Struthio camelus: one gene and its partners. The main gene of each other region encodes a partner of the protein of the gene in region 4 in a complex. Links are inferred from orthologs where the notes say so. Each region holds a gene or a part of one and is shown on either strand. Other genes may lie near its edges.

The links.
Region 1: the proteins of ARPC1B (region 4) and ARPC4 are in contact, whole or in part, in a cryo-EM structure (PDB 6YW6), measured with the Homo sapiens proteins. The link is inferred for Struthio camelus from reciprocal best matches to the Homo sapiens genes ARPC1B and ARPC4. Residues at the interface, in NP_005711.1 of Homo sapiens: Glu9, Pro10, Asn28, Gln54, Thr72, Arg74, Asn96, Arg97, Ala98, Arg100, Ser143, Thr144, Cys162, Trp204, His206, Leu245, Pro246, His263, Ala319, Gly320, Lys326, Asn327, Ser328, Met350; in NP_005709.1 of Homo sapiens: Gln17, Cys21, Leu22, Glu23, Asn24, Phe25, Ser26, Ser27, Gln28, Val29, Glu31, Arg32, Glu45, Leu46, Leu48, Glu124, Gln125, Tyr127, Lys128, His129.
Region 2: ARPC1B (region 4) and ARPC3 share a complex: the UniProt entries of both Homo sapiens proteins name them as parts of the arp2/3 complex. The link is inferred for Struthio camelus from reciprocal best matches to the Homo sapiens genes ARPC1B and ARPC3.
Region 3: ARPC1B (region 4) and ACTR2 share a complex: the UniProt entries of both Homo sapiens proteins name them as parts of the arp2/3 complex. The link is inferred for Struthio camelus from reciprocal best matches to the Homo sapiens genes ARPC1B and ACTR2.

The regions. Positions count from the first base shown.
Region 1 is NC_090955.1:9,933,294-9,940,340, reverse strand, and holds ARPC4 (actin-related protein 2/3 complex subunit 4), read right to left. Parts: upstream 3,004-7,047; 5' UTR 2,712-3,003; coding exon 2,709-2,711; intron 2,238-2,708; coding exon 2,119-2,237; intron 1,440-2,118; coding exon 1,328-1,439; intron 1,246-1,327; coding exon 1,150-1,245; intron 1,007-1,149; coding exon 836-1,006; intron 280-835; coding exon 274-279; 3' UTR 9-273; downstream 1-8. Other genes in the region: TADA3 (transcriptional adapter 3), read left to right, coding at 3,457-3,663, 3,841-4,091, 4,271-4,376, 5,780-5,921, 6,224-6,327, 6,418-6,527, 6,851-7,036. UniProt on the Homo sapiens protein: Actin-binding component of the Arp2/3 complex, a multiprotein complex that mediates actin polymerization upon stimulation by nucleation-promoting factor (NPF).
Region 2 is NC_090958.1:17,142,106-17,149,997, reverse strand, and holds the start of ARPC3 (actin-related protein 2/3 complex subunit 3), read right to left. Parts: upstream 3,009-7,892; 5' UTR 2,760-3,008; coding exon 2,463-2,759; intron 1,178-2,462; coding exon 1,078-1,177; intron 1-1,077. Other genes in the region: GPN3 (GPN-loop GTPase 3), read right to left, coding at 5,200-5,262, 5,768-5,896, 6,304-6,400, 6,732-6,847, 7,607-7,731. UniProt on the Homo sapiens protein: Component of the Arp2/3 complex, a multiprotein complex that mediates actin polymerization upon stimulation by nucleation-promoting factor (NPF).
Region 3 is NC_090944.1:141,298,170-141,306,003, reverse strand, and holds the start of ACTR2 (actin-related protein 2), read right to left. Parts: upstream 3,004-7,834; 5' UTR 2,916-3,003; coding exon 2,868-2,915; intron 2,548-2,867; exon of another isoform or gene 2,439-2,547; intron 1-2,438. UniProt on the Homo sapiens protein: ATP-binding component of the Arp2/3 complex, a multiprotein complex that mediates actin polymerization upon stimulation by nucleation-promoting factor (NPF).
Region 4 is NC_090956.1:4,575,430-4,583,051, reverse strand, and holds the start of ARPC1B (actin-related protein 2/3 complex subunit 1B), read left to right. Parts: upstream 1-4,614; 5' UTR 4,615-4,742; intron 4,743-5,303; exon of another isoform or gene 5,304-5,598; intron 5,599-7,622. Other genes in the region: ARPC1A (actin-related protein 2/3 complex subunit 1A), read left to right, coding at 793-831. UniProt on the Homo sapiens protein: Component of the Arp2/3 complex, a multiprotein complex that mediates actin polymerization upon stimulation by nucleation-promoting factor (NPF).

The DNA of each region.
Region 1 (7,047 bases), on a different chromosome or scaffold from region 4:
CAGCCGAGTTACAGCAAACGAGGAATTGTTAAAAAAAAGAAAAACAAAGGGGGAAGGGAGGGGAGGGAAAAAACCAAAGGAGGAACGAAGAGCAGGGAGTCGGCACGGTCTGACACGAGCACGGTTCGCTTCAGGACACCCGGTCCTCTCGCCCGTCCCCGCGGACGGCTCCGTAGCATCTGGCGGCTTCTCCTCTCTTCCGCAGGCGGCGAGGCCGGGCTGCGGCCGGCCCCGCGGGGACGCCGGAGAAGCCAGGGAGCTCAGCACCACGGTTCAGAACTGCAAGGCAAGAAGGGAAGGCACAGGGCCGCTGACTGCCGGCTCCTCGCGCGCTCGCCCTCCCCTCCCGCGCCCAGCGTGCCATCCGCGCTGCGCCGAGGCGGCCTCAAGCCACGTCTGGCTGATCAGCAGGGACGGAGACGAACGATAACTGCCGTTCGGCACTGCTTGGATTGTGGAGCTCTGCGCTCACTTCCCTGCCTCCCCTCGCCCTGGGGACCGCGCAGCTCGTCTCAGCAGTCCGCGTCCCGCAGCTGCCGCTCGCGCCCTAGCAAAGCGCCAGCCCGCTGGCAGCCTTGCAAAGCTGGCGCGTCACGCTGCGCTCCTCTCTCACTGAGGAGGGAGCAAAGCGGGCAGTAGCTCTTCCAGGTACCCCCACCCGCTCCCCACGTGATTCCCCTGCCCCAAAGGGCACCTTCCCAGGGGGCTGCCGCCACCTGCGCCACAGACGGGGACAGCCCGGGGCCAGGCTTCCGCGCGCGAGGGTCACGGCAGGCCGGAGCTGCACCCTCGTCCAGAGACACGGGAACCATCGCCTCCCGCTTTAGAGCCTCACGTTCTTGAGGAACTCCTCTGCCACGATGCGAGCCCTGGCGTTGACAGACAGCTTCATCTCACTGATCTCCTTGTCGATCTCCTCCATGAAATGGATCACAAAGTCCACGAGCTTGTGCTTGTACATCTGCTCTGTGTGGAAGTTTGTGATCAAAAAGCTGATGTCGTAGCCCTGGAGAAGAGAGAAGTGGCAGAAACAGTTAGCGCACCAACCCCGTGAGCACACGTCCTCTTTCGGCTCCGGAGACCCCCCTCTCCCCAGCAGTGCCAAAAGCACAGCAGGATGCTGCTCTGCAGCTCCACGGGTCACCTCACCTCCACAGGCTTCCTGCGCAGGATGAAGAAGTTCTCAGCCCTCATCATCATAAAACGCATGAATTTATGGCACAAGATCTTCTCGATCTCATCAGCCTGCAGAGAGAAAGCAGAAGTGAGGCTTCCTCCAAGCAACACACAAGCCACCAGCCTGTTCCCTCCCCTCCCACCAGCTCACCTGTTTCACTGCAATGCTGACTCGCACAGAGTTAATGGATCCCTCTATAAGGACCTTTTCCTTCTCGTTCCTGCTGATGATCACTGGCTGCAACAGCAGCTCTTTGCTGCTTCTGTGGATGCAAGAGAAGCTCAGCACTGATTAACGAGCACTTGCTGGCCACACAGGGCATGCAAGCAGGGAGCTGCAGGGATCACAGCCAATACGGACACTTGGGAGTTTGTTTTGTGCTCCAACACGATGCTTTCCACCTCCCAGGCACACGCATCATGAAGGCAGATCCTCCCTCCTCTTTGCAGTTTCTCAGCTCCCGGGCTGACCAGCCCCATCGCTGCCTGGTGGCAGCTGCTGAGTGCAGAGGCCTCTCCAGCCTGCACAGTCCCCTCGCGTCAGGCCCAGACATGCTAAGCAAAGGCAGCAGTGACTAGATGGGATTGTTTTTTGGTGTAAAAACCCCAACAAGAATTAACCCATCCCAGTGTCCAAAACCAGGACTCAGTTCCCAGTGTCCAAAACCAGGACTCAGTTCCCAGTGTCCAAAACCAGGACTCAGCTAGGCTCAGGAACAGTGCTGGACTCAGTGCACTAAAACCAGAGCAGAGACCGTTTTCCCCGTGCTGCTAAAGCTGAGCTGGCAGCGTCGCAGCACAACAGCTCCACAGGGACACGCTGGCCCCGGAAACCAGCCAGAGGCAGAGCAGCAGCCCGGGGGCAGCTGCCTCCAACGAAAGGATGGCGGAGGGCCCGAGCGGAGCGGGGGCCCCGCAGGCACAGCCGCCCCCTGGCCGTACCTGACTTCCACCTCGGGCTTGTTGTGGCGCTCCACGACCTGCGAGGAGAAGTTCTCCAGGCACAGGGCGGCCTGCAGCGTGGCGCGCACCGCGTTCAGGTACGGGCGCAGCGTGGCGGTCTGCGGGGACACGGCGTCAGAGCTGGCAAACGGTGCGGCCCACTGCCCCCCACCCCGGCTCGGGCCCCCCCACCCCCAGCTCGGGACTGCCGCCCCCCCAAACCCCCAGTCATCCTTCTCAGGCCCCCCCCACCCGCCTAAAACCCCAGCCCGCCCCAGCTGCCCTCCTCAGCCCCCCCACCCCACCCCAGGCTGGGGCCTTCCGCCCCCCCCCCAAACCCCCAGCTCGCCCCAGCCGCCCCCCTCAGGACCCCCCCACCCCCGACTCGGGCCTGCCGCCCCCCTAAACCCCCAGCTCGCCCCAGCCGCCCCCCTCAGGACCCCTCACCCCCGGCCCCCCCGCCCGCCCCCAGTCCACCCCCATCAACGCCCCCCGGTCCGCTGCCGGCCTAGGCCCCGCCAACCCCCCCGCCAGGTCCCTCCATCCGCCCCCGGGCCCAGCCACACAGCCCCCGCCACCCCCCCCCCTACCATGGTGGCGGCTCCGGTCCGGTCCCGGCAGGCGGAAGTAGCTGTCCCCGGCGGCTCCTCTCTTCCGGGATGGCCGGGAGCTCCCACTGCAGCGGGAGGGGGGGTCGGGGGAGGCTCCCGCCGCGCGCCGAAGGGCGCGGGCCGCACCGAGCTGGCCTCGCCTCACCGCGCAGAGGAAAGTGACGGCGGCGGGCACGGCGGCTCGCGATGGCGGTGCGCGATGGCGGCGGCCCGCTCATCCCCCCCCGCCCGCCCGCCGCGTTGGTATAGTCCCGTCACTGCATCCATATTAGGGAAGGCAAAAAGAGCGTGGGCCGGGCCAATAGGCGACGGGTGCTGGGCGCGGCTCAGCCAATGGGAAGTGTGGGGCGGGGCAAGGCGGGCGCGGCGTTGGCCTACGGAGGCCGGAAGGGACGAGCGGCCTAGGCCCGGCCCCCCGCGGCCCTCCCGGCCGCCCCCGCCCCGCGGCGCCGCCGCCCCCCCGCCCGGCCGCGGCACGCGCTGCCCCGCCGGCGCCTTCCGGGCGGCCCCGGCGCCCCCGGGACCTCCCCGACCCCCCCCCCGGGGCTTCCCTGCGTCCCGGCCCCGCCCCCTCAGCGCCCCGGTCCCAACCCCCCCCCTCCGCCGGTTCCCCTCAGCACCCCGGTTCTCTCCACCCCCCCCCCGCTTCCCCTCAGTGCCCCGATCCTTCTGCCCCCCGCCCCGTTCCCCCGAACACACCCGTGTGCTCCCCCCGGTGCCCGCCGCCATGAGCGAGCTGAAGGACTGCCCGCTGCAGTTCCACGACTTCAAGTCGGTGGACCACGTGAAGGTGTGCCCGCGCTACACGGCCGTGCTGGCCCGCTCCGAGGACGACGGCATCGGCATCGAGGAGCTGGACACGCTGCAGCTGGAGCTGGAGACGCTGCTCTCCTCTGCCAGCCGCCGCCTCCGCGTCCTGGAGGCCGAGACGCAGGTGCGGGCGCCGCCGCCTGCCCCGCGCGGCGAGGGCCGCTGGGGCCCGCCGCCCGCTCCCTCGCCTGTTCGTTCACGCCGAGGGGCTGCGGCGGCCTGTTGGGCTGCCGTTGGTGTGGGCAGCGGGCCCGTCCCCAGGCTGCGCTGTGTGGCATGACATGGTGTTGCTCTCTTCCAGATCCTGACAGACTGGCAAGACAAGAAGGGTGACCGGCGGTTCCTGAAGCTGAGCAAGGAGCATGATGTGGGCACTTCTGTCAAACATGGGAAGCCCAAGAAGCAGAAGCTGGAGGGCAAAGGGGGTCACGGGACAGGGCCTGGCCCTGGTCGGCCCAAATCCAAGAACCTGCAGCCCAAGATCCAGGAATACGAGTTCCCAGATGATCCCATTGATGTTCCCCGGATTCCCAAAAATGATGCTCCAAACAGGTGCATGGGGAACATTTGGATCATCCGTTTCCTTCCTTGCAGCTCCTGGCGAGAGGGCTGGCTTGGACCCGAGGGAAGAGGTGCCCTGGAGGGAAGGGGGGGTGTGAGTCGGCCTTTGCCGCGGCCCACGCTGTGCCTCTGCAGCCCCCCCTTACTGTCCGTTTGCTCCGTCCTCGCAGGTTCTGGGCCTCGGTGGAGCCGTACTGCGCCGACCTCACCAACGAGGAAGTCAGAGTCCTGGAAGAGCTGCTCAAGCCGCCTGAGGACGAGGCTGAGCATTACAAGGTGAAAGATCTAAAGCCCACCCAGTCTTGTAGCCTCTCTTCCTGTCTGTTTTCTAATCCTGGGCCAGTCTCCTGTCAATGCAGTCTTGTGCCTTACAGTGAACGCTCGCCCTGTGGGGATGATACTAGTTTTTTCCTGCAAAAGCAGGAATTTATCTGCACACTTTTCTCTTCTGGCTCCCGTGAGAGAGTGTCTTGGCTGCGGCCACGAGGTAGCAACTTGCTGCCCCCGTTCTGGGGCAGTGCTGAGGTTGTTGCTGTGCGCTTTCCTGTCCTTGGGAGGCAGTGCCCAGCTGTAGTCTGTCTGTTCCTGCTGCAGCGTGGTCCCGGCCTGTGAGACTCGTGGTGTTCTTACATGCAGAGTTCCTGTTGTTACATCCAACTTTGAGCACAAGGGACCTCTCTGGACCCTTGTCTGAGAGACCCCAAGCCCCCTTTCCCTTGTGCCAGCTGCAGGGCTCTGTTTGTTCTAGGGAGCCGAGCAGAAGGATTTTACACGCTCTAGGGAAGAGGACCGGCAGCAGACGGTTGTTTTTGTTGTCACCCGCTTGTAAGCGGGTGAAGAACTGGGGAACGGGGGCAGTTGTGGAGATGAGAAGTAGCAGCCAGGATGGGGTGAGAGACTTGGCTGCTCTCACCTCTGCTGCGTTACACGTGTGGTGCTGTTGGATAGCCACAGTTTCCACACGTGGAGATGACATCTCTGGTCTCGGCTACAGAAGAGCCCTGGGTGAGGGCTCCCTGCCTGATCAAAGACGCTGTGACCAGGGCTGGTGCTCGCGGTACCAGCTCCCTGATCTGGTCGTGTCCTGCCAGCGCTGCGTGTGTGACGGGCCCGTGCCTCTTGTACAGTGGGGATGGCTGAGTCACGATCAGGAAAACGCTCTTCCCGTAGCACGGTTTTAGATTTCACTCATAACGTTGTGGTTGCTCTTCCTGTGAGAGTGCAGCTTGTGGTTGCCGCTTTGTGTAGCTTAAAGACTCGCTGGGGTCTGCGCCGGCCGGTGGCACCGCCAAGCCGAACGGCGCCGGGCCAGCCAAAGGGGCAGGGCGGCTGCCGAGGAGCTCGGCCCTGGAGCTCACGGGCAGCTGCGCCGCCTCCAGGGCCGCGTCTGGAGGTGCCGAATTCTGCCATCTGCTCTGCGCAGGAGCTGTGGGAGAGGAGGGGAGGGCCCAGGCCTTGGGAAAGCGGGAGAGCAGCCCTGGGGATAGGGTTGTAGAGCCCCAGGGCAGCCGGGTACTGGCCTGGCTGCGAGCCAGGTGAAGTGTGCGGGGCTGGGTCCTTGGATGTAGGGCCTGCTCCGTGGCACGGCAGGGCCCGTCTCCTCGTGCCTGAGCTCTGGCGCGGACGAGGGCCCTGGGACGCTGTGCTGACCGCTGCTCTCGCTTGTCCTGTGGTTGCAGATCCCGCCTCTGGGGAAGCATTACTCCCAGCGCTGGGCCCAGGAGGACCTGCTGGAGGAGCAGAAGGACGGAGCCCGGGCAGCAGCTGCTGCTGACAAGAAGAAAGGCATCCTGGGACCGCTGACTGAGCTGGACACTAAAGGTGCCTCCATCCCTGCCTGCGTCTGCCCTCTGTGAACGGCCTGGAGGGGGCTGCAAGGCACCTACACGGAGCACAGCCAAGCCCCTGGGACGCTGGCCCTGCTGCCCTGGGGGTTCCTCCCTTTCCGGTGGCTGCCCTGGGGAGGGCACAACTCGAGCGCAGCTGCAGGGAGGCTCAGGTGGCAGAGACAGAATGGAGTAAAGCTGTCCCTGCAGAGGAGAGAACAGTTCACCTTGCACCGGAGTCCCGCTGAGGCGTTGGCCTCTCCCCTGCTGCTCACTGTTTTCCCTGCTTCCTCCCAGATGTTGATGCCCTGCTGAAGAAGTCGGAGGCCCAGCACGAGCAGCCTGAGGACGGGTGCCCCTTCGGGCCCTTGACGCAGCGTCTCCTGCAGGCCCTTGTGGAGGTGAGAGGGCTCGGGATTGCGTTGTGGCTCTGTCGGGCAGTGTCACTGCAGCTCGGTAAACTGACCCTTCTCTTGCCCTCTGGTTGCCAGGAGAACATCATCTCCCCCGTCGAGGACTCCCCGATTCCTGAAATTGCTAGCAAGGACTCGGGAGCCGACGGCGCTGGCACTTCCCCCCGCAGCCAGAACAAGCCCTTCAGGTGAGCAGCTGAGGTGGCCCCGAAGCTCTGCTTTGCCTGCTGGATGTCTGAACATGCCTGGGGTTCCATGTCTTCTGCAAGCGTTGGGAGGAAACAAAAAGAAACCTGTCCCTCGAGTAACTGCAGCAGAGTAGGTTGGGGCAAAAGGTAGCACAGCCTCGAGCACAGGCAGCTCCCGTTGTGCTACAGCCCTGCCCAGGTCCTGGCCCACAGAGCATCTATGTCCTCCCTGCGCCTTGGGGGAGAAGGCGAGTCCGTGCGCAGTCATGCTGCCACATCTGCTGGCTGTGGCGCGCATAGCACCCGCTCTCTGCCCTTCGCAGCGTCCCCCACACCAAATCGCTGGAGGGGCGGATCAAGGAGGAGCTCGTTGCCCAGGGCCTGCTGGAGTCGGAAGACCGTCCTGCCGAGGACTCCGAGGATGAGGTCCTGGCCGAGCTGCGCAAGAGGCAGGCCGAGCTCAAGGCGCTCAGCGCGCACAACCGCACCAAGAAGCACGAGCTGCTGCGGTGAGTCTGGC
Region 2 (7,892 bases), on a different chromosome or scaffold from region 4:
ACTGGCGAATTCGGACCTTAATATTTACGCTTCCTACTTTTAGCAGGAGTTTTAATTCCCTTCTCCTCCTTCCCCCCATGGCTTCTCACTTTACAAAGGGCAACAATTCAGCAATTCCACACTGTTTCCTACTACCAGTCGAGTAATTTAACAGCATAAAAGTCTTCTGAGGGCAGACAAATATTTTTGGAGAAAGTACACCCCCACAACCAAACTTCTTCATTATCCTCTTTGAAAAAAGCAGGGGACAATATATAGTCACACAAGCTCATATGCACTTTTCACCTTCTTTTGCTAAAACATAAGACTGCCTACATCCAGAAATGTTTCCCTTTTCAAACTGAAACACCACCCTACTGTGAGATGTGCCTGGGAAGTGCTACTTGAAGTGCTGAAGCGGAATCCATTTCAGACTACCTGTAAAACTCTTCAGTGGACTCCGGATGCTCGGAACTTAAGTTTCAACTTATGAAGTTGCGTACCCTAAAGCGCTCTCTATCTTACTCCTCATCCTTCAGCGCAGCAGTGACTCTCAAGCCTCAGTCCCCAAAGTGCTAGTTCTCTTTAGCTCAACCTCTACTTCCTCTTATGTCAGAAGGTTCACATCAGTTACAAGTCCTCCTCAAAGCCTACTGAAAACCACAGTAAAACTTGATTGTAGAGCACCCGAGAAGGAAGCATGAAAATAGTAACTGTACTTTTTTTTTTTTTTTTATTTCTAAAGTAAGAGAATTTGGGAGTAGGGGGCACAGTTTTCCCAGATAACTGCTGTATGGTAATTATTTTTCCTGGTTTGCAGCACTTAACCATTTAAGAGCGTTTTTCCTCCTCTACCAACTGAAAAGCACTCCATTTCTAAACCATGGCTTCTCTCTTCACTCTGAGAATCAAGATCTAAAACGCCTGGTTAAGTCTTGGCCATAATTTTCTCAATCCCATCTGCCCGGGGACATTGATAAAAAGCATGTACTTGAGACACCCACTATACCAGAGCAATGCTAGAGCTGGCTATGAACAAACTGTGACATGATTACAAGCAATATGAAAACAAATGTTCAGAGATTACTGTAAACTTACTTTCCCGAGGTGCTGGGCCTTTGAACTGGCTTCTGATGGGTAACAGTGCCATGTTCCCAATTAACTTGGTATCAGAGTCCATTAAAGTTGAATGGTAAGCCTATGGACAGAGCGGAAGGCTAGTTATGAATGTTACTGAAAATAGGCATTTCAATGTCCTCGTGGCAACATAAGCGGTTCTGAAGTGTCTCCTGGGTGTCCATCAAATAGGATTCAGAGTTTAGTTAGTGATGCTTCTAGCAATCTTACCTTGCACAAACGATTGCTGTTTTCACATTAGGCCTAGCTCTCAACAACATTGTGAAGGCCATAAAAGAATCATCACAGACACCGTTTATGGTAGCAGTGGTGGAAGATATGATAAAAAACTGGTATGGTAGATCTATATGCATTTGCTTCACCTTCAGGCTCTCTAAGCCCCCTTGGCACAGCTCTGAGGTGGTAACAGCCCTGTTCTCCTGCCTTAGTTATGGGGCTTACCATTATAGAAGTGTATGAGGGAAAATTAATTTTTTTTCTAATTACTTGGTCCTTTAAAAAAAGGTTATATTTTATTCCATGTCTAGCTAATAATAGTAGATAGGAATAAACAAATCCAGACTTATTGTATATCCACAAAGTACCAAAACAGACCGGCTCATGCACTTTAAAACTGGTATTTGTCAGTGAAAGAACAGAACAAAACAAAGAAGACCCTTGTGTGAATGACAAGATTATTCCTGGGAAACAGATTTTTAAAAAATAACAAGTTTAATTGAAGGCGCCTTCCAGACATTTACACAGTGCAGTTCCAGGGCACTAGAAAGCCTTCATCTCATCGCAGCAGTCATTTTGCAGGGGGTCTGGGAAGCAGGGAAGTGCAATTGAGGGGCAGCAACAGGGTAGGCAGCACCTAACAGGAAAGCAGTTTATTTCAACATGAGGAAGATGGTATGAACTAAACCATAGCAAAGCACAGCTTTAATGCCATCTTCCTCAGTGGAGCTAGCTGGGAGTGCCCAGAGGTGTAGCTGGGAGGGACTGCCACCCTCCTTACTGCAGAAACACAGCTAGCTGCACCCAGAGACGCAGGCAGGATCCTTCACAGGAGGAAGAGGAAGAGGAGCATACTAGCCTCGCAGCAGCCTCCCATAAACTGCAACTGCCCTTTCCCAGCGAGGCTCCCGGCAGCTATAGCCCATCTCTCCTGAACGCAGCTGCCCATAGTCACACCCCAACAGCAAAGCCTGTTTCCCCCTACCCCAGCCCTGTGACCCCCAGCAGTGGGCAGCATCCGCCCTCTCAGGCCTGCCCGCTCTCCCCCAAGCCCTCCTGCCCTCTCTCCCAGCAGCTGGGGCAGGCCAAGCACACAGCACTCCGGTGTGAGTGCAGCGGATCCCCCTCACCGGCATCTCGAAGGGCAGGATGCAATTTGGCAGGGCCGGGCAGGAGGGGAGCACTGAGAAGCTTGCAGGAAACCTTCCTCTTCTGCCTGCGCTGCAGGAAATGAGGCAGCGGAGGCGGTGCAAGGAAGGGAAGCCAGAGCGGAGGCCTGCAACTCGCACCGCCCAGAGAGTTTCTGCACCGCTCGCTGCAGAAACACAGACAGGCAGGAGAATATGCTTTGAAATCACACCCTGTTGGGGGATTTGTTTGCTCTTGCCCTCTGGAGTCATGTTTCTCCCCTCCCTCTCCCTTTGCATTGGCTGGCGCTGCAAGTAAAGCCCTCTCAATCCCTCTGTGCTGTCTTCTTTCAAGCAGCTGTGAGATCACGCTTCCTTGCTGACAGAGGCAAGCTTCTTTCCCCAGCGAGGATCAGAGCGTGACAAGAGCACAGAGAGCGCGGTGCACCAGATTGGGGCCCTTTGCTTGCAGCCAGTTCTCCGTTGAGTGTTTGATGTGCAGCACTCCTGTGCATCTCTTGCTGTGACCTGACTTGCAAAGTGTAGCCTGCCAGACTGGTCTGTGAGCACTTGCTGTTGCACTGGGTATAAGGAAGCAAACAATTGGGGCTACTGTGTTGGGTGGGCAGTCTGGAAGGATATACTGTTTTCAGAGCCTCACTGAACTCTCCACTCCTCTGTTAAAATCCTAACCATAACCTCCCCTGTGACCCAGGGACCCTCATTTGTCCCCAGGCAAATGACTGAGCATAACATCATTGCATGAGTCAGGGAGAAAAAACGGGGAGATGCGGAAACTGAGTCAAAGTAATCCAACTGTAGGAGTTAGGTTTCTCCTTCAACGCTCCACAAGCATGACTCATCCCAAGGATCACAGAATCACAAAATCGTTTAGGTTGGAAGGGACCTCTGGAGATCATCTAGTCCAACCCCCCTGCTCAAGCAGGGACCTCTAGAGCATATTGCCCAGGATCACGTCCAGACGGGTTTTGAATATCTCCAGGGAAGGAGACTCCACTACCTCTCTGGGCAACCTGTTCCAATGCTCTGTCACCCTCCCAGTGAAGAAGTTTTTTCTCAGGTTCAGATGGAACTTCCTGTGGTTCAGTTTCTGCCCGTTGCCTCTTGTCCTGTTGCTGGGCACCACGGAGAAGAGACTGGCCTCGTCCTCTTGACACTCCCCCTTCAGATACTTATACACGTTGATCAGATCGCCTCTCAGTCTTCTCTTCTCCAGGCTGAACAGGCCCAGCTCTCGCAGTCTTTCTTCATAGGTGAGCTGCTCCAGTCCCCTAATCATCTTGGTAGCCCTCCCCGGGCTTGCCATCCCCGAGGATGTGCAAGCTTGGAAGTTAGCTAAGCCGCCAAAGCTTCCCCAGTATTTGCATGGTTTAGTTCAGCCAGTACAACTCAAAACTGTCCATGTCTGCATTCAGGTTTGCACTGGCAAACTTGCATCAGTCACTGGCTATCTGTTGCTGAATGCAAGGCATAGATCAGGCATAAAGCACCCAGTGATGTGATTAGCTACAGGCAGGCATAAAAAGACTCCCCACATAATGAAGTTAACCTCCACAATAATTATTTATATACATACATATACTCCGGGGTTTTGCGTCATGCTTTTAAGCCTTGAAGAGCTAAATTTTTCAGCTCTTTCTGGTGACCGTGATAACTCTCACAAAACTGAGGTCTCAGCTCTCATAATTGTCTGGCTCTGGGAGGCAAGGTTTTAAGAATGCTGAATATTATGAGATTTGTTCTAGAATTCATAAAACTGGCAAGGCTGAGCACACAAATACCCATGGGGGGGGGTGCACATGCAGGACTGAGGTACCTTTGCATTTGATCAGATGGCATGGGACGACAGCTCTTAGGATTATTTTTACTTGTACTTAGTTACTTCAGTAAATATGTTCTTCCAAGATAAAGTGCTTAAATGTTGCTTCTCTGTGAAACCAACGCACATTCTACTATATAGGTCATAGTAGGTGTACAAGTTCTCTATTCAGAGCTAAAAAAGCAGCTACTTACCTTATTAGTTACTGAATTCTTCATTCAGTAACACACTTTCTGCAGCAACTGTACAAGAACAGCACTGATTTCTATTTAAGCTGATTTTATTTATTTTAAATGTTTCACTGTTTAAGATGTTATCAATGTAAAAACCGCTTAAAGCCACATGCGAGTTGTACAAAAACAGCCTAAAAAAGGAGGCTTAAAATATGGGCTCCACCAAAGTGAACGTAAAATACTCATCTTCTTCAAGAAGGTCAAGAGTCCAGCTACTGATCAGTTTTCCTTTTGTAGCTGCCAGTTATCTCTTTCCCCACCGCAGATTCAGTTAATGAAGTACATTACTCACCCTTTAAAACAAGTTTTTCGCTCATCTAATAATAGAACAAACTACCCCGTACTAGAGATAAATATTTATTGTAAATTATTTGTATTTGACTGTGCCTCTTCTGCAAATGACTGACTTTTCCCAAACGTTCCTATACTTAAATGAGACAACTATATGTGGGGAACTTGCATACAGCAGCAGTAATACATACGTACATATTTTATAGCACACAGACATAAGAATGAAATTATTTATTAAAATAATTATGAGGTCATACAGGATCACTTTTCATTAGAAATTTTAGTTATCTTACAGATAAAAAACAAACTACACAAACATGATACTTTAAATATTTAACAACCACGATATTTCCCCTTGTTTTTGAATGTATGTGCTTTACTCATCCACATGATCTTGAAAATATTCATCAACAAGAGCAGATTTATCTTCTTCATATTCCTGCCAGAGAGAAAACAAAAAAAGTAAAACTTAACTGTTTCCCCCCAAGGAGCTGTAATAATTTATCTGTCCTCTGGCATTTTAGTTATAAAAAAAAAAAAAAGGAAAATGTCTAATATGATTCCATAAAACGAGTGGCAAAACTTTCTGGAAAGCAATCTGTTTCTAGAGCTATCCAAACTGTATGGGTCAAAATCTAGACCCAGGGATTTTGCATATTCCACAAGTACAAAACTGAACTGAAAATAAATAAATAAATAAAGTATTGAATTTGTTCCTTAGGATTTATGATCTGAATAATCAAACTAGATAGGGCCTGGAACTCGTTTTAAGACACGAGTCATGGTGTCATTGTATTGTACATGACATAACTTATTCCTAATCTATAGTTTACATACAACACACAGGCTCTATACATTTTTTAAACAAGTCAAAATACATTTATATTATGACTTGTATTATGGAAGCTTTTAAGTTTTTCATCGTATCATCAGAAGGACCTTACCTTTGGTTCTTTAAATTCAAGATCTTCTCCATACTGAATGGTAAAGTCTATGTGCTGCAGAACTATGTTCATACTTTCCTCGTCAGAGCGATCAAACGGTAAAAATCGAACCATACCATAGTCATCAATCTAGAGAAAACGTTTAAAAGACATTAGTAAGAGCGTGCAGCAAGTTAGTTCTTTTACACTCATAGCACTCTAAGCTACTTCTTTAAACCAAACTACATCTTCCTTGCCTGGACTCCCAACATACTATTTAAAACCACACTGCAAACCAGAGGCAATTCCCCAATGAAAACATCTGCCCGTCAGTCCTAAGTCCTATACATTAGATAATCCTGTTCTCCAAAGTTGCTAATCTTGTAAAGCCTGGTGCTGTTATCAAGTCTGTTATGTAAATATACAGTTTTAGGGAATTTTTTTTATAGTATACAGAATATCTATAACAGCAAAGAAGGCAGTAGCCATATAGTGTTGTTTATAAATACAGGACTGAATTTAAGAATATCAGTTAGAACGAAAAGCAATACACCTACCAAACCACATATAGATTTAGTCAGTTTCTTAAACATTTTGCTTTTTAATATATTTGTAGAGTCTTCAATCATGGAATACATATCTGGATCTAAGTACCTGGGAGAAAAAAAAAAAGTCTTCATTGACATCAAAAGAATCCTTTGCTAAAGAACAAGTAAGTCATTGTGCTTTTAGATAATGATTTAACAGAAAATAATTATTTAGAGAAAAAGATAAATATGTATATGCATAGAGCTAGCCTTTTGACTCTGTGACTAAGTTGTAAGCATCCTATCCTAGACATGTAAAGACTGTGTTCAATATAAAACAACTGCATCTTTTCCCATTCCAAAAGAGTAGATTTTAATTGTGGGAAACAGTAGACTGAATTTTGAGCGACGTTTATCACCAGATGTTAGGCTATACAACAAATATTTGGGGAACTTACTTCTCTATTTCCTTCTTAGCTTTCTTGCTCAGCAAATCCATTTTGGTCATGATGTTGATCTGTGGAATCTCTAAAGATATCATTGCACTCAGTGCTGCCAGAATTCCAGAGATAAACTTAAAGGAATATGAAAAATGACATACTTAAGTACAGACAAACACAACACAAACATGCAGGACACGACCACAAACCAAAACTAGCTACTGAATATATGAAACATGGACACAAGGCCAAGTGAGGAGTCATTATCTCTGTTGGAAAAGGGAGAGGCTAAAGTTCCCATTTGCCATCTATTTCCAGAGTTTCAAATCTGGATCTGCCACTGGGAAGGACATCTAACAAAACTCAAAGCCCTTCTCAGGATTCTCATTGCTAGACTGGGAAAGGGGCATGCTCTCTTTCCAGATCTGAGAAAGTTTTATAGAATCACAGAACAATTTGGTTTGGAAGGCACGTTTAGACATCATCTGATCCATATCAGGGCCAACTGCAAGGTCAGATCGGGTTGCTTAGGATCTCATGCAGGTGAGTTTTGAATTAACTCCAGGAACATACATTACACAATCTCTGTGGGCCCCTGTTCCAGTCTGACCACTCTCACAGTGCAGATTTTTTTCCTCCTATCCAACTGGAATTTCCCTTCCTGCCACTTGTGTCTATTGCCTCTCATCCTTTTGCTGCGCATCTTCAAGAAGGATATGGCTCGATCTTCTTCTCCATAACGGCTCACTAGGCAGGTGACAACAGCCATCAGATCCCACCCGCCCCCAATTAGCATTCTCTTCTTCAGACTAAACAGAACTAGCTCCTTAAAATTACTCAGATTTCTTGTTCTCTACTAATATGAATTTTTACAATATATTTCAAACGGATACCTTAAAAGATTCCACCATAAATTGAGAATCAACAAGAAAAACTCCACAGACACGGAATTCCCACTGCTGAAGCTGCTCCACCAGCTGTTTCATCACTGGTAAATGTGTGTAGAGTTCAATCTGACCTAGGACAGAATATTACTATGCAGAAATGTAAAGCTAACACATAAAAAAAGCATATGTTAGTTCACAGTTATCAATTATATAAGTGTGGGCATTATTCTTCAAATGAATAAAACCTGTTACAAAAAGCATGATCTTTCTTTTCAGACAACTCTGACTGAAT
Region 3 (7,834 bases), on a different chromosome or scaffold from region 4:
TTGCTTTTAACACTAATAATTCAATGAATTTGTACATCTTTCTGAGGAAGCCAAGAGTTCAACATCATGTATTTTTGCAAATATTTGCTATACACCAAAAAATGTTTTAAGAACAGCTACTTAGTTTGCCTGTACACAAGACCACATATGTAAGAAGTTTTACCATATATAGTTTCTTCTCCATCGCACTGTGGTTTTATACCGACTCTTTCACTTCCTACTGAGTCATCAAACAGTAAGAACTTGTACGTATAAGTATTCTTTCAAACGAAAAGAATGAGGAAGCTTTCTACATCTGCTCACAAACATGTCACATGAAAAGTCTTAAAATGGATAATATTATTCTTATCAGGACTCTTTACTTGATTTTTTTAATTGATGCAACTCTCAAAAAAAGATTTTAAATATAATTAGAAAACTATCCAGATCATAAAGTAACTTATCATTTGACCTAGACCAGTAAGAACATTCATCTCAAACGCTCCAAGATGGCATCGCCAGCTTCCCTCTCTTACACTGTGTGTTGCAAGAACACACTTCTTGGTCACTTGTTCCTCAAAGACTGATTGCAGTCAAATACATTAAAAACTCATATTTCAGCATGACAAGAACAGTAAGTTTCAAAAGAAGCCGAAAGTTAAAACTGAGTCTAAAATTCCTGCATTTTTATTTCCGGCACTTGGCAAGAGATTTAACTTTAGTCATGGTTTAAGTAAGACATATCACAGTGTATCAGACACTATTCTAATGTAAAGCAGCTCTTCTTTACCATATAACAATGTTTACTATAAAAATGCTGGTTTGGCAATACAGGACTTGATATTCTCAGTATACAGGTGGAGTCTGAAAGACGTATGGATCTTATGAACTGAATTTTCTTCTGGTGTACTTACCCCAATTCAATTTGAATATTTTAAGTTTACAGATTTAACAACAACCATTTCTTCATACTTTGCACTAGCACACAGTCATCTCTGGGGCCAGGGGATGGCCATACATGCATTGTTCTGCTTAGAGGTAAAACTCAACCCAAAACAACAGAAGTTGAAGTGACACAGACCCCTACTCCAGGCACTGTAACTGCAGTATAACAGTATTTGTCGTATTTGTTTATATCCAGGTGGTACAATTCATGGAGAAAAAAATATATCAGATGTCTCTTTGATTTAAAAAGACACACAGATATGTCTCACTGCACAAAAATCGTGTCCCAACTACAGCTTGCAAAACTGCATAAAAATAACCGCTTCTGTCCCATGTTTCATCCCTGAGATCGACTACAGTATGACATTATGGTCACTATCTATATGTTAAACATTTTAAAACAATATTTTTATACTTTTTTATACCTTTTAAAGCCATTCATTGCTACGTAAAAGGCTGTATTAAAGGATCAAATCCTGAAATTACATAAATTTCCAACAAAGGTGACAGTATGAGCATTAAACACTTAAAAAAAACAACCAACCAACAGAACCCTGCCTCCATGTCCATTTGTAAATGGAAAACGATAAATCGCCTCTTTTTCTTTCCTTTGTGTAAATGATATTGCAAAAAAGGCCCAAAGGCTTTCTACCTCAGCACTTACTCAAAAGAATCTTTCTAGAGGAGGAAAAAGAGGAAGACTTCAGAACTGTCAAATCCGATGTTCTGCTTTTTGAATCATTCTAATCATTTCAGATGCTTACTGGAAATGCCTTAATTCATGTGGCAGGGTGTTGAACCTCTTACAGTGACGTTCTTTGTTTCAACTATTCAATCTTTAGCTTTAAATATTTTAATCTTTATTCAAAGTGTTTATTAAAAAATACTTCTTTTTTTGCCATTCGAGAGTTCTTGACAACCTGTCAGCTTTGTTAACTCCCCTGATAATATTGCTTTTCTGGGGGGAAAAATTTCAATTGCTAAACAAAATTACTAAGGCGGAAATTCACCTATAACATCTTATCTGATGCCTTTAAAATGGTATCTTTGTCACTTCCTGTTGAGGCACCTCAAAGCCTCCATAACACTAACAAAAGAACAAATTTATAGTGTGCACGTGCATGTTCACGTAGGGCAGGAAAGGTGAAAGGAAGAGGAGGAAAGCTTTGGCGCCCTCTTTATCCACGACTCCCAATTCGGTGAATTTTGCAGGTCATAAAGCTATTAATGAAAGGACCCCGCTGCCTTTTAACCACAAGCTGCATGACATGCTTCCGTGAAACCAAAAAACTCGCATTACAGAGGGCGCATCTCTGCCTGCCTAAATGCGAAACGGATAAACTGAGCGTTCCGATTAAAAATAAAAAAAAAATAAAATAAAACCGTATTTTCTGCTTGGTACTCCTTACTAAAGGGAAACCCGCTAAAGTCATATATAGGAATACAATACGCGTAATAAAATTGCCACGATGCTGGGGGACGGGCACAGATAGAGACCCGACGGCAGTAAATACCGAGGTACTACCGCTTCCCGGGTGCAAGGACTCAAATGCCCCTTTTCGCTCGCTCCGGCTCAAAGGACACCGGCCGCCAGCCGCCGCAGGGCCCGACTTCCCCTGCCGACCTCCCCCGGCCCATTCATTCAGCGCGCCGCCGCCGCCGCTGCGCGGCTCGCTGCGCGCCCGGAGGCCGGCGCGGGCGGAGGGCCGAGGGCGCGCGGATCCCGTCGGCCCCGGGAGCCTCCCCCGCCCGGTGCACGGGCGGCCGCAGGGGCCCCGCTCCGCCGCGGCGAGCTCTGGAGGCCCCGGGGCGGCGCAGGCCGGGCGCGGCCCGCTGCCGGGCCCCGGGCGTGCCGGCAGGAAGCCGGGCCGGGAGGGGAGTCGCCCTGCTTCTCCCCCCGCGGCGGCGGCGGCAGGGCGGGTCCCGGGGCCGGAGCGACTCACCCCGGTGCCGTTGTCGCACACCACCACCTTCCTGCCTAGCGTGTCCATGCCGCCACCGAGCAACCGCCACCCCAACCGTCACTGCCGCCGCCGCCGCCCCAACCGTCGCCGCCGCCGCCGCCGCCGCGCCCCCCGCCCCGCCGCGCGCGCCGGAAGCCGTCACCGCGCGGCCCCGCCCAATCAGCGCCGCCGCCGCGCGGCCCCGCCCAATCAGAGCCGCCGGCAGGCCGCCACCGCCCGCCCCTTCCCCCCCCGCCGCGTTGCCATGGCGGCGGCCCGCGGCCCCCTCACAGCCGCCGGCCCGCGGCCCCGCCAGCCCGTCCGCCGCCGCCCCTCGCCCCAGCCTCCTACCCGGCCGGGTAGGCCCGGAAAAGAGCCGGATAATGCTCCTTTTCTTCTCCTTTCCAGCCGGCCCTTCTCCGCCACGCGGGGGCCGAGCCGTTCCCCGGGCGCCGCCGGGCCGCCTCGCCCCGTAATGGCGGAGGGGGGTTTCTGGGCCGCCCTCGGTCATCTGGGCCCTCGCGGCCAGGCGGATCGGCTTCGTCTGCCCCTCGGAGTGCCCCGGCGTGCTGTGAGAGGAGCCGGCTGGCACCCAGCCACCCCGCTGCCCTCGGGCAGGGCAGGCCCTTCCTCCCCGGAGAGCTGTCGGCTGCTCCGGAGCCGCTTTCTGCCTGCTCTCGTCCTTCCCACTTTCCTATTTTACGCGGGATCCGTTAGCCAGGCCGCGTTTTTATATAACGACATTAAATCACGCCGCTGTTAAATTTACGGAGCCACTCGTCGTCGATACTGCGTTATTTTTACGGTTAACTGCTCTTAAGCAGCTTTTGCTCTCCCGCGTTTACATTAGCCCATCAAACAGGATGCCCTTCCCAAGCGGTTTGCCTTCTTCCATGGGCTCCGAATAGAGGAAAGAGCAAATACAGTCTCTCAGTTTGCCTCTGATAGCCTGGTGCCATTTTCCTTGCCTTTCCCCAAACCCTACGGACTTCCAGGCGACTCGAGAGATGAGGGGCGTATGCTAATTTTTTACTTCTGTGGCACTAGCTGTGTCAATCCTATATGAACAACAGCACGTTTTAATTAGACATAGCAGAAACTATGTCAGCACAATGATTTCTGTGTTCAGGTTGCAGATAAATAATGGCTGTTGCTGTGTGTGTGTGGTTTTTTTTTTTTTTTTTTTTTTTGCTTTGGAGTCTACAGACTAGTGGGAACAGTAAGAAATTTTTTAAAAATCAGAATATGCATAATATTTGACTTTTTTTTTTTTTTACTTTAATGATGTTCAGATATTGAGAATGATGAGAAGACATGGCATTATCTAGTAGGACGAGGAGGCTATCCAAACAAAGATGGAGAAATCCAGTCCAATATAGCTGTAATGGAAGGACTTCCTGGTTGCTGTGGAGCAGTAGCAGCCTCACCTGGGTATGAACTGCACTCTACTACGAGTGTGTTGAACATTCATTTTAGGTTTTCTTCAGTGCATGATGTTTTGATGCTGATAAAAGTGAAGGATTTACGTTGTTGGTTAAAGCCAGGTACAAAAAGCAATGGCTTTAAAAGCCTGCTCTTGGTCCAGAAACATTAGTTAGTCTGTATAACTCAAATCACTCGGCTTGTTCAGCTCAGCTTAGACGGCTCAGACATGGGAACTAGCTCCTGTTTATTGCTCTGATGTTAGACTTGCTGTAAATTCTGGACAGATCACTTAACCTGCCAAGCTGCCCTGGCCTCAGTTTCAGTAAGCTGGGTATGATACCATGCCATACCATACACATGCCCATTAATAAGGAACTTGACCCATCAGTGAATGAAAAATGCTGCAGTTTGTATTCTAATCGTCTGTTGATTTGTCAGGCAGAAGGCTTCAGTGATGTCTCCTTATGTAGAATGATGGCAAAATACAGTCTGTTCTGAGGCAAACTGGATTTTTAACTTGGGAGGCCTGAAGGAAAAAAAACTCAAAATGCATTAGCTAACTTTTCTGAGATTAGATATTCACTAGGTCCCTATAAATATGCTTAAGATTTTAATTTGATTATGATAACACAGATCCCCCGTCACTTTTATTATATGATCCCTTTTCTAAGGGGATGCTGGCTATTAATTAAAGAAAAATCTGAATTGTAAAGGGTTAGTTTGAGAAGTGCAGTCAGAACTTACAGTGTCATTAAAGCCACTCAAGAGACAGTGACATTAAGTCTGCCCGATCACTGCAAAATCAGTAGTTAATTTGCTGCATCTAGCGTAGCATGTAAGACCGCATCAAAGGGATGCAAGTTCTGTAACGGAAATAGGCCTATTAAGGAGGAACTTATGTACTGCACAGTATAGTCATTAGATCCATCACTGTACTCGCTACCAGCTATTGCTGTCAGTTGTTGGATAGCCTTAAAAGATTTTTGGTGTTTTATCGAAGGTCACATACAATGCAGGAAAGGAAATACAATGTGTTTTGAACTTAACTGTATTTTTGAGCTTATTTACCTGCTTAAATTGAACAGAGATACTGCTTCATGTTCAAAAGTAAAAAAAAAAAAAAAAGTATTAAGGTTGCAGAGCATGGCAGGAACCTTCTTAGAGTAAGGAGAGAAGTTGTAGTGTGGTCAGTATTTGTCAGAGCCCTTTACTATGAGCAGGATAATGGAGAATGTCTTCTCCGTGCCAGTGTGTCCACTGTTGTATCAATGGAGAATGAGATCTGTTCTCTGCGTTAGGGGCATTGAGGAACAGCACAAAGCCAGAGAGATTCTGTGACGTATCTGTATTTGTGAAGTGCTTGAACCATGCTGAAAGTACAATATATTTATTAATGCATCAAAGTAGCAGGTTTAATTAAACTACCTCCAAGATATACAGGGACTGGTATATCTTTTGTAGATCAGTCATACAATGCAAAGATATATTGGAGGGGAAAGCTTAAAAATCAGGGAATTTATGAGAAAAAACGTAGGGTACTGTGTACATGTGAATTGCCTTCTCTGTATATATCCTGCATGTATTCCATTCTGTGCATATTCCAGTTAGTGCAACCTGCTCAGAAGGTAGTAAAGCAAAATGCAAGCGTATCAGAAAATAATAGATAAAAATATTTTTTTATATTTTTGGAGTCTAACAGTTTGGGGTATATACTCCATAATCTAGTTTTCTTCTGTTGCTCTTAAAGTACTGGAGAGAACTATCCACGCTTTCCTAATAGGAGATGGTGCTGTATCTTTTGCGGGAGAGCAGGACTTCATGATAGCCTTGTCACTCCAGCCTTCAAAAAGGGCAAGAAGGAGCCAGGAAACTACAGGCCTGTCAGCCTCACCTCCCTCCCTGGAAAGGTGATGGAACAGCTCATCCTGGAGGTCCTCACTAAGCATCTGGAGGACAAGAAGGGGATCAGGAGTAGTCAGCATGGATTCACCCAAGGGAAATCATGCTTGACCAATCTGATAGCCTTCTCTGATGGAATGACTGGCTGGGTAGATGAGGGCAGGGCAGTGGCTGTTGTCTGCCTGGACTTCAGCAAGGCTTTTGACGCTGTCTCCCATCACATCCTCATGGGTAAGCTCAGGAAGTGTGGGTTGGATGAGTGGACAGCGAGGTGGATTGAGAACTGGCTGGATGGCCGAGCTCAGAGGATTGTGGTCAGTGGTGCAGTCTAGCTGGAGGCCTGTAGCTAGCGATGTCCCCCAGGGATCAGTGCTGGGTCCAGTCTTGTTCAATATATTCATCAATGACCTGGATGAAGGGACCGAGTGCACCCTCAGCAAGTTTGCTGCCGATACTAAACTGGGGGGAGTGGCTGACACACCAGAAGACTGTGCTGCCATTCCGAGGGACCTGGACAGGCTGGAGAGCTGGGCAGAGAGGAACCTCCTGAAGTTCAACATAGGCAAGTGCAGGGTCCTGCACCTAGGCAGGAATAACCCCATGCAGCAGTACAGGCTGGGGGTTGACCTGCTGGAAAGCAGCTCTGTGGAGAAGGACCTGGGAGTGCTGGTGGACAACAAGTTAAGCATGAGCCAGCAATGTGCCCTTGTGGCCAAGAAGGCCAATGGTATCCTTTGTGTTGAGTGTTGCCAGCAGGTTGAGGGAGGTGATCCTGCCCCTCTGCTCAGCCCTGGGGAGGCCTCACCTGGAGTACTGTGTCCGATTCTGGGCTCCCCAGTACTGGAGCGAGTCTGGTAGAGGGCTACAAAGACGATTAGGGGACTGGAGCATCTCTCCTCTGAAGAAAGGCTGAGAGAGCTGGGCCTGTTGAGCCTGGAGAAGAGAAGACAGAGGGGATCTGATCCATGTGTACAAGTATCTGAAGGGGGGGGTGCTGAGAGGATGAGGCCAGTCTCTTCTCCGTGGTGCCCAGCAACAGGACAAGAGGCAACGGGCACAAACTGCAACACAGGCAGGTCCATCTGAACCTGAGGAAAAACTTCTTGACTGTGAGGGTGACAGAGCCCTGGCACAGGTTGCCCAGAGAGGTTGTGGAGTCTCCTTTGCTGGAGATATTCAAAACCCGCCTGGACGTGATCCTGGGCAACGTGCTCTAGAGGTCCCTGCTTCAGTAGGGGAGTTGGACTAGATGATCTCCAGAGGTCCCTTCCAACCTCAACCATTCTGTGAAATTCTGTGAAATAGCAGATAATAAAAGCATGATGACTAAGCAGAGTGCTGAAAGCTTATCAGGTAAAGTACTGCATCTATCTTCTGCTGAGAGGGATACATTTTTATGAACTTGCCGAACAAGTGATCTATGCTTATCCTGATGTGTAGGCATAGAGAAACCATATGCACAGAGGCAGGAATGACTCAGAACGGAAAGAGAAGAATGAGTTATTGGGACAGCTGTCCCAGACGTCTGCTCGGTATAGCAGAAGAAGGAGGGTCTAGGAGGAACAGATGACATCTCTTCTGCATCTGGTCAGCCTTAGAAATGTTCTTAGTTCTATCACAAGGCAGCCTGGAGAGTCTAAAAG
Region 4 (7,622 bases):
CTGCTGCAGCGCAGCCCTCACGCAAATTATATTAGCACTAGGAAATCCCGACTGTCATATTCAAGACCATTAACAAACTCTGTAAGGAAGACAGATCTAAGATTTAGCATAAATGCAGATATACTTTGCTTAGCAGATGGTCATAATCCAGACTTAATTTTTTAATTGGATCACTTATTTCCTGTAGGAATCCTGCTAATTCTTTCCTTTTCTGAGTTCTACCTTAGCCACAGTCAGTCTGGAATGATCATTGGTGCAACAAGACCCACTGTCTCTTCTTGCTCCCGTCCCTTTGGACTCACTGTCTTTCTGAAGAACAGGGTCATGCACTCTATTCATTTATTGAAATAGTAAGAATTTACCTAAAACAATTGGGAAATACAGTAAGCACTATTTTGAAAATCCTAACTGGATTCAAGCAAGCACCCAAGTGCTTGCTTTGTTGGGACTGGCCAACAGAGGTCTCTGCTGACCTGCCCAAGCTTTTGCTTACAGCTGTACACAGGCTTTTGGGAAAAGAGTTTATATTCCAGTAATGCCTGGAAGCTCAGTAGGGACTGGGGCCAAGTAAGAAATTGATATTATGCAGTTTAAGGGAGGAAGGGGGGAAATCATTGGCATATATATGTAAGAGTTTGGAATGAATAATCATAGTGGTCTCTGGCCCTTGGATACATGTTTAATCTCCACTGCCCTGTTTGTTTTGCTCCTCTTTTAATGTCAGCCTTCACACAGAATTATTTAACGCAGGATACTGTAGCAGTTTGTGATTAAAATTTTCTCTCTTTCAAGACCTTAGAGTCCTCTATTCAAGGTCTACGAATCATGTAAAGATGGATTTCCGTGATCTAGCAGGACAAACTGCTTGACAGAACGCAGCTCCCACATCTGCACAAACTCGAAAAGGGAGGAGGAAGGTGGAATATTTGGAAACACTGAGAAAATACAGCTTGGCAGATTTTCTTTGAATCTAAATTTGGTGAATTGTGTTGGTTTCAAAATCAGCTGTGATTGTTTTTTTTTTTTTTTGGTTGGTTGTTTCATTCCATTCTTTACCAAAGCTGCTCCTTAAGTAGTTTATTGCAGGAAGTTATGAATCACTAACTTAAAAGGGGAATTTTATGTAAATTGTCTGCTAGAAATAATAATAATAATAAAAAAGAAAAACAGATTCTTTTCTGTTTTGATTCTCATTAACTGCTTGAAAAAGGAATATTATGGGAAGAAAATCAGGTAAAGAAGTTGAAAAACGCTGAATTGATTTTTCTGTCCTCAAAAGGGGAAGAGTTCATCTTAACTGGAAGTTTTTTAAAAGTTCACAAATGAAGATGAACTAGCTAGAGTTCTTTCAGGGGAATTACTCCCTTGGAGAATGTGGTAATTTTAGGTGATGTATGATTTTGTCCTAGTGACTCTTAATTCTGTCTGCCTGGCATTAAATCCAGTAATAATAGGAAATTAATCCAAATGTCTTTTCCATTCAGTTTGGCGGGTCATAGTTCTCTGAAGGCAGATGACTAGAATTATTTGTAGTTAGCTTTTATGATTTGTACAAAGACTTCTCACTGTACAGTGCCTAGGGTACAGAATGGAAGAGTGCCTGCAGAAAGTGAGGCAAGAATCTGCTGAGCCAAAAAACTTAGGAGGATAAATTAGAAACAAATCACTTCTTAAGCCCATGTGGCCACACTGGCCTGCATGTCATGTTAGAGCTGAGTGCTCTGCCTATAAAAATCTGTTTAGAATGACCAGGAAGAAATTAACTACATCTACTGGTATGAACAGCACACGCTGGCTTCTGTACAGACACTTTGTCTCCAGGTGACTATCTTTTGAAGTTTAGCTCTGAGCCTTGGTAACTGACCAAGGCACTTACACATAACTTCTTTTATTCACGTGGTCTCATTAAGATAACTGGGTATTGCTGCCTTGAGGCTTGATCCCGGCTGTGCACTGGAGGGGATTATCTGGCTCAGGGTATTGCCTCACAAAGCTTGAGACTTTTTCATTTCATTTCTGAAAATGCAGAAGTGTCTTTAAAAAAACGATGACTAAATTTACCACTTCCTCTGGAACCACAACGTTTCTTCATGCATTGCTTGTGTCTCAGCTCCGAATGATTGAAAAGGGAGGGTGGAAGACAAGCCCACAGAGTGGACAGCTTCTGTTGTATTTCTGTAAGTGAAAGGTGTCCGTCACGGAGACAGATCATTTTCAGGTGAAATGTTTGTTGAATGCAAAGAATTGGCTGTTTTTCCGTTCCTTCTGGTTTTATTTTGCTCCCACCTTTCTGGCAGTCAAGCATGGTTTTGCAATTTCCCCTCCCTTCTAAACATAAAATAATGACTGTTTAGCCCCTTACTCATCTTCTAGTCTAGTGATCTGCTGTTTGATTCCTCTTGTGATGGGGATGGGTTTATCAGCTAGGATACAATGCCACGCTAGTGTAGTTAAATGTCTTCTGGATCAAAGTGACTCTGTCAGCCAGCTTGAATGATGGGCAGAGGAGCTTGAATTTGTCTTTGTCCGCGTGGGCATCCTACTAGATGCTTATGTCTCACAGAAAGTAATGATTTGGTTTCTGAAGTCACCTTGAAAGTGTGGTGTTTTATTTCCAAAAATCTATTGAAAAAGCTGTATTCTAAAATTTATGGCCCAAATAATACAGAGGTATGGAAAAATTCATCTAATGAGAGAGTGGAGAAAATGGGTCTTTAAGTTTTTTGCCTTTTTCTGCATGAAAGATCTAGAGAAGGTAAAATGAGCATTTTTGCTCCAAAAAGCCAATGAACTGACACTTGATAACACTGCCCCAGCTTACTGTCTCAGAGAGAAATGCTTATGCTAGAAGTTTGAGTTGGAAACAAATTGGAGATATTTACACTGGAAAAGAACTGAGCAAGGGGAATATACACAATCATCTCTGGGCATGATTCAACTTAAAATTGCCCGACGTGAAGAGGATGGGGAAGAGCTCGGCTCCTTGTGCACCACCTGACATTCACAGATGGCAGGTTTATGGATTTGCAGGCCGTTTATCTGATCTGAAGGTCTTTCTGCTGCCATCCTTCCTCCAGTTTCTGTAAGCCATTTTGAAGGTAGGTGCTTTGTTTTGCCTGTACCATTTCCTTAATCTCCTCCCCCATCTTTAACACTGTCAGAGGGCGTTCTTTCTGCCCAACGTGGGTGAGAATTCACTAGCAGATTTCAGCTAGTTGCACCACTAAGCTTGCTAACGTGTGCTTGTTGTATGTGATTGGGTTAATGGTGCCCTTGAAAGCAATATTCACAATAAAGCTCATGGTTGCCATCTTAATTACAGGATAGCTGCTGGCTGCATATGCTCTATGTTACGTGCCAGTTAACAGACTGTTAGGGGCAAGAAATGGGGCTGCACAAGCAGGGACGCCAGAGACTGTTCACAGGGGCCTGCCTAAAAAAGCTCACCATGAAAAGAAGCTGCAGAACTGCTGCTACTTTTTTTTTTTTTGTCTCCCCAGCTCTAAAAAGTGCCCCAGCAAAAAAACATGCTCACGTCTCCAGTATGCGTGCAGGGGGGTAGTTCCTCTACTGCCTCTCTGAAAGGCCTTGAGCTTTACAAGGCGTTCTGCAATGGATGCAGGAGGATCTCTCCGCTTAAGGAAACTGAGGCAAAAGAGGTGAAATGGTTTGGCCAAAACTTAAGTCAGGTCATTATCTTGCTTTGGATAAATGCTGTCTGCTCTCAAATGGTCCCCTGCGGTGGCTGCTCGCTGTGCTCATTAGCACATGTTCAGAGAACAGCTGCAGCAGGAGCAGCCTCAAGACCAGAAGCAATGAGGAAATGCAATAGCAGATAAGAAACCGCCTTGCAGGCAGTGCTGGGGGGTGATACTCTTCACTCCCTTCACTTAATAAGGTAGGGGGATTCCCACCGCAGAAGTTAAACTGACCTATCGTTTGTTTGCGTCCCTGCCTGGAAGCAGCGCCAAGATCTGATGCGAAGCGACAGGGAGATGAGTGGTCCTTAGGGCTGTGTCCTCTCATCCTGCACAGGCATTAAGTTGCTGGTCTCTGTGCAGAGCTTGGCAGTGATGTTACAGCAGACAGTGATGGGATACAGGGAAAGTCTGAACCGTCTTGCTCAAGAGCAGAGGCAGAGCAGCTGCAAGAGGAAGAAAGAAAATGTGCAGGCAGAAGTGAAAACTTCAATCTGCTGCAGCCCTCAGCTGCATCTGAGCTGTGGTGGGAGCCCTTTTGCTGCGTTTGGGTAGCCGTGATGCTGGGAGAGGCCAGATGCTGCTCTGGGCAAGCTGGTGCCAGAGGATGGGGCGTTTTGCCACTCCTGAGACAGACTTCACCTGCTGTGGAGATTCACTCCTGGCCAGAGCTGCAAAGACCTACAACCTTCTGGGGACATCTCCAGCCCCAGGGTGCCAGGGCAGCCCTGACCTGGGCGAGCCAGTCCCATGGGTGCTGCGTAGGATCGTGGCAGCGTGTGTGAAGGGATAGCTGGACTTCAGGAGCAAAAAGAGAGATGAGTTACCCCCTCAATGCTGCACCCCAGAGCCTTTCTCCATGGCTGACCTGTAACCTGGGAATTAATTCCAGAGCTTAACAAATATGGGCTTGTTGTATCCAAATCCTGCAGCTGGGAAACCCCATCAGGGCCTGTCCTCCTTGTGCAAGAACCTGATGCTGAGCTCAGATACCACTGTGGCGGTTCAGCGATGGGACGGTCCCCTCTGAAGCTACCCTCCAAGGTAAGGGGCGAGGGCATCCCTCTGCGCGGGACTCTTGCAGCAGGGCGATGATGAACGTGTCTGGGCGTCCCCCATCCTCCTTTCTCCTTCCTGGCGCTTAAAGCTAATAAGGCGTTGAGCTACTGGCGAGGAAAGGGATAAAAATCAGGTCGCTCTGAAGCGTGAGGCAAAAAAACAGAGGGGTGCATCATATGGGTTGGGTAGTGGAGACGCAGATGGAGCCGGCCTGGGGCCAGCAAAACCCCCCAGGTCCTGCTGGGCTCGGCTGGACGCAGGAACCAGGAACAGCCGTCTCCGAGCGTGGCTGGATCCTGCTGAGCCGTGAGTTTCTGGCGCTGGGAGACGATGCCGATGCGCATCCCACCTCGGGTGGGCTCCGACCTCCGCCTGCGGAGCTGGCGCTGGCAGGCGGTCCAGGCGCTTCCCAGGGCGTCCTTCCCCCCGAAGCGCCGAGGACGGCAGAGCCCAGAGAGCCTCGCGTGGGGGCTGGACCGGGCCGGGGGGACAACCAGGCCTTGGCAGCCACCGGCATGGTGGGGGGGGGGGAGGTCAAACCGGAGGGAGGCGATGGGGCTCGTTCGCCTGCAGCGTCCTGCCCCGCTGGTGCAACGCGGGGGAGGTTGCAGGGCTGCCGGCATCCCGGGGCTCGCACACACGCAGGGGCAGGGCGGCCGCCGGAGCGGCTCTGCACTCCCCCAACGCCCACGTAAGGAAGTGGTTGCATTTCTCGGAGAGGAAAAGGGAAGTCGGGCTGCCTCGGAGAGCCAGCCAGCCACTTCTGCCTTTCGTTCGCCGCCGGCCGGGCTGCAGTTCGTGTCGACTGCCCAGAGTCCATGAACTAGCCCCGCGCTGCCAGGTAAGTCCCCGGGGGCTGTGGCTCCCGCGCCCGGGCGAGGAGCGGCGTCGGTCCGGCCCCGGGACGGGCCGCCTCCCCGGCAGAAAACTCACGATTTAAAAAAAAAAACCCAAAAAACTTTGCTTGACCGGGCGAGGCAAACCCCCCCCCCCCCCCCAGCCGAAGCCTGCGGGACGGGGCTGCTTCGGGGTCGACTTCCCACGCGAGCGGCGCCGGCTCAGGCGGCGCCCGGGGGATTTGGTGTCGTCGCCGCGTTTCGGACGGTTCTTTCCAGCGCTGTCAGCGAGTTTGAGCTTTCTCCTCTTGCAAGAGGCCCGGGAGGGCCGCCGCTGCGGAAAGCGCCCCGCGGCGGGGATCCCCGCGGGCGGGCGGCCGTCCCTCCCTCCCTCCCGCGGCGGGCTGGCCTCTGCCTTCCCCGGCATCGGCCTCACGCGAGGAAGAGGAAGGTCAGCGCCTCCGGGGCGCCCTTCGTCCGCCCGGACCCGCGTGGCTCGGGAGGGCGAGCATCTCGCGGGTGGGCGCAGCGGCAGGCCGGGCAGCAGCGCTCCGGCGCCGCCAAGCCGCCCTGGGACGACGGGGCGGCGGCGGCCCTCTGCCCAACTCCGGCCCAAGGGAGAGTGCGGGCTCCCCCCGCCCCGTCGCAAAAGCCCTCGGCTCGCGCCAAGGTTTTATTATCGCCTCCGAGGATGTTTCCGAATTGCTCGGGGCCTTGAGGCTGCCGGAGGCGGGCGGGGGGTAGATAACCGGGCTGCATCGGGCCCCGCTCCCGCCCCGTCCGGCCCTCCTCAGCCAGCCGGGCCGCTCAAACGCCCTTTCCCTCCCTCGGGAGGCGGCGAGCGCGGCCGTGCCGGAGCCAGGGCCCCCGGCCCCTTTCCCTGCGCAGAGGGGCTGCAAGGCGCTCTGCCCCGGCGGCCGCTTCCCTGCTCCTTGCCGCCAGCACGGCGCTATCTCCCGCCTCGGGAGGGAATTAATGACGTTATGAAACCAGAAGCCGCGGAAACGCGGTGTAAACGGCCGCAGGGAGGGAGCGTTGCTCAAACCGAAGCCCTCGCGCGGCTTGCTGAGCGTTGTTTCCGCGGCGAGGGGCGGGCGCTGTCCGCTCCCCGGCTCCGCTGCACCGCAGCCGCTCCCCTCCCGTCCCATCCCTCCTCCTTCCTGGAGCCCTTTCAGCCCGTTACTGCTTTAACACGGTTTTCTGCTCCAGAGCTTTCGTGGCGCTAGCAGCAAGCGCCTCTTCGCCGCTGGTTTTGTTGGCGGGGCAGCCAGCGGCTCGGCCTCGCAGCCGGGGAGCTGGTTGCGTTGCTCCCCCCGGGCCGGTGGGCTGGGGGGAGCCGCCTTGCTGCCCTCTGCCCGGCCGCTTCCCTCCGGCGCCGGGCGAGCTTTGGAGTTTGCAGGAGCAAGGGAACCGAGCCGGCTCTTAGAGGCGCTAAAAAAGATGCTTGGGAATATCGGTGTTTCTAAGGATGGTCCCGACGGGCCGGCGTGGCTCCCGGTCGGCGTCCCTGGAGAGCCGGGGTGGGCGTCTGGACGCGAGGCCGGCTGCAGGCTGCATGACGCTAGCGCGCAGCAGGATTTTCTGCTGCCTGTTGGGTTTTTTTATTATTATTATTCTTTTTTTCCTGCACGCGAAATGCAGGTGACGGAGCGCCGCCGTTTTTCTTTTCGCCGGCCCGGGAGAACAGAAAGCGGCGAGGGGAGACTTTTTTCCTTTCCCCGTAATGTTGCGAGCTGCCAAAGAAAACGGGCAACATCCTGTTAGTTCCCAAAATACCCGAGTGCCAAAGGCTGTGCCTGATCCCCGGGCGCCCCGTCCCTGCGGGGCTTCGGCCGAGCGGCTGCGCTCGGGGCCCCGAAACCGCCTGGCCCCTGCTCGAGCAGCCGGACGGGGCAGGAGGGGGGAACGGAAAGGGGCCGAGGCCCCGCTGGCAGCCGCAGCGCCGAGCTCAGCTAGCGGGAGGTATTAGTCACCAGCGCGCCGGGGCCGAGCAGCGGGAAGCGGCTCCCGCGCCTGGAAACGCTCGGGG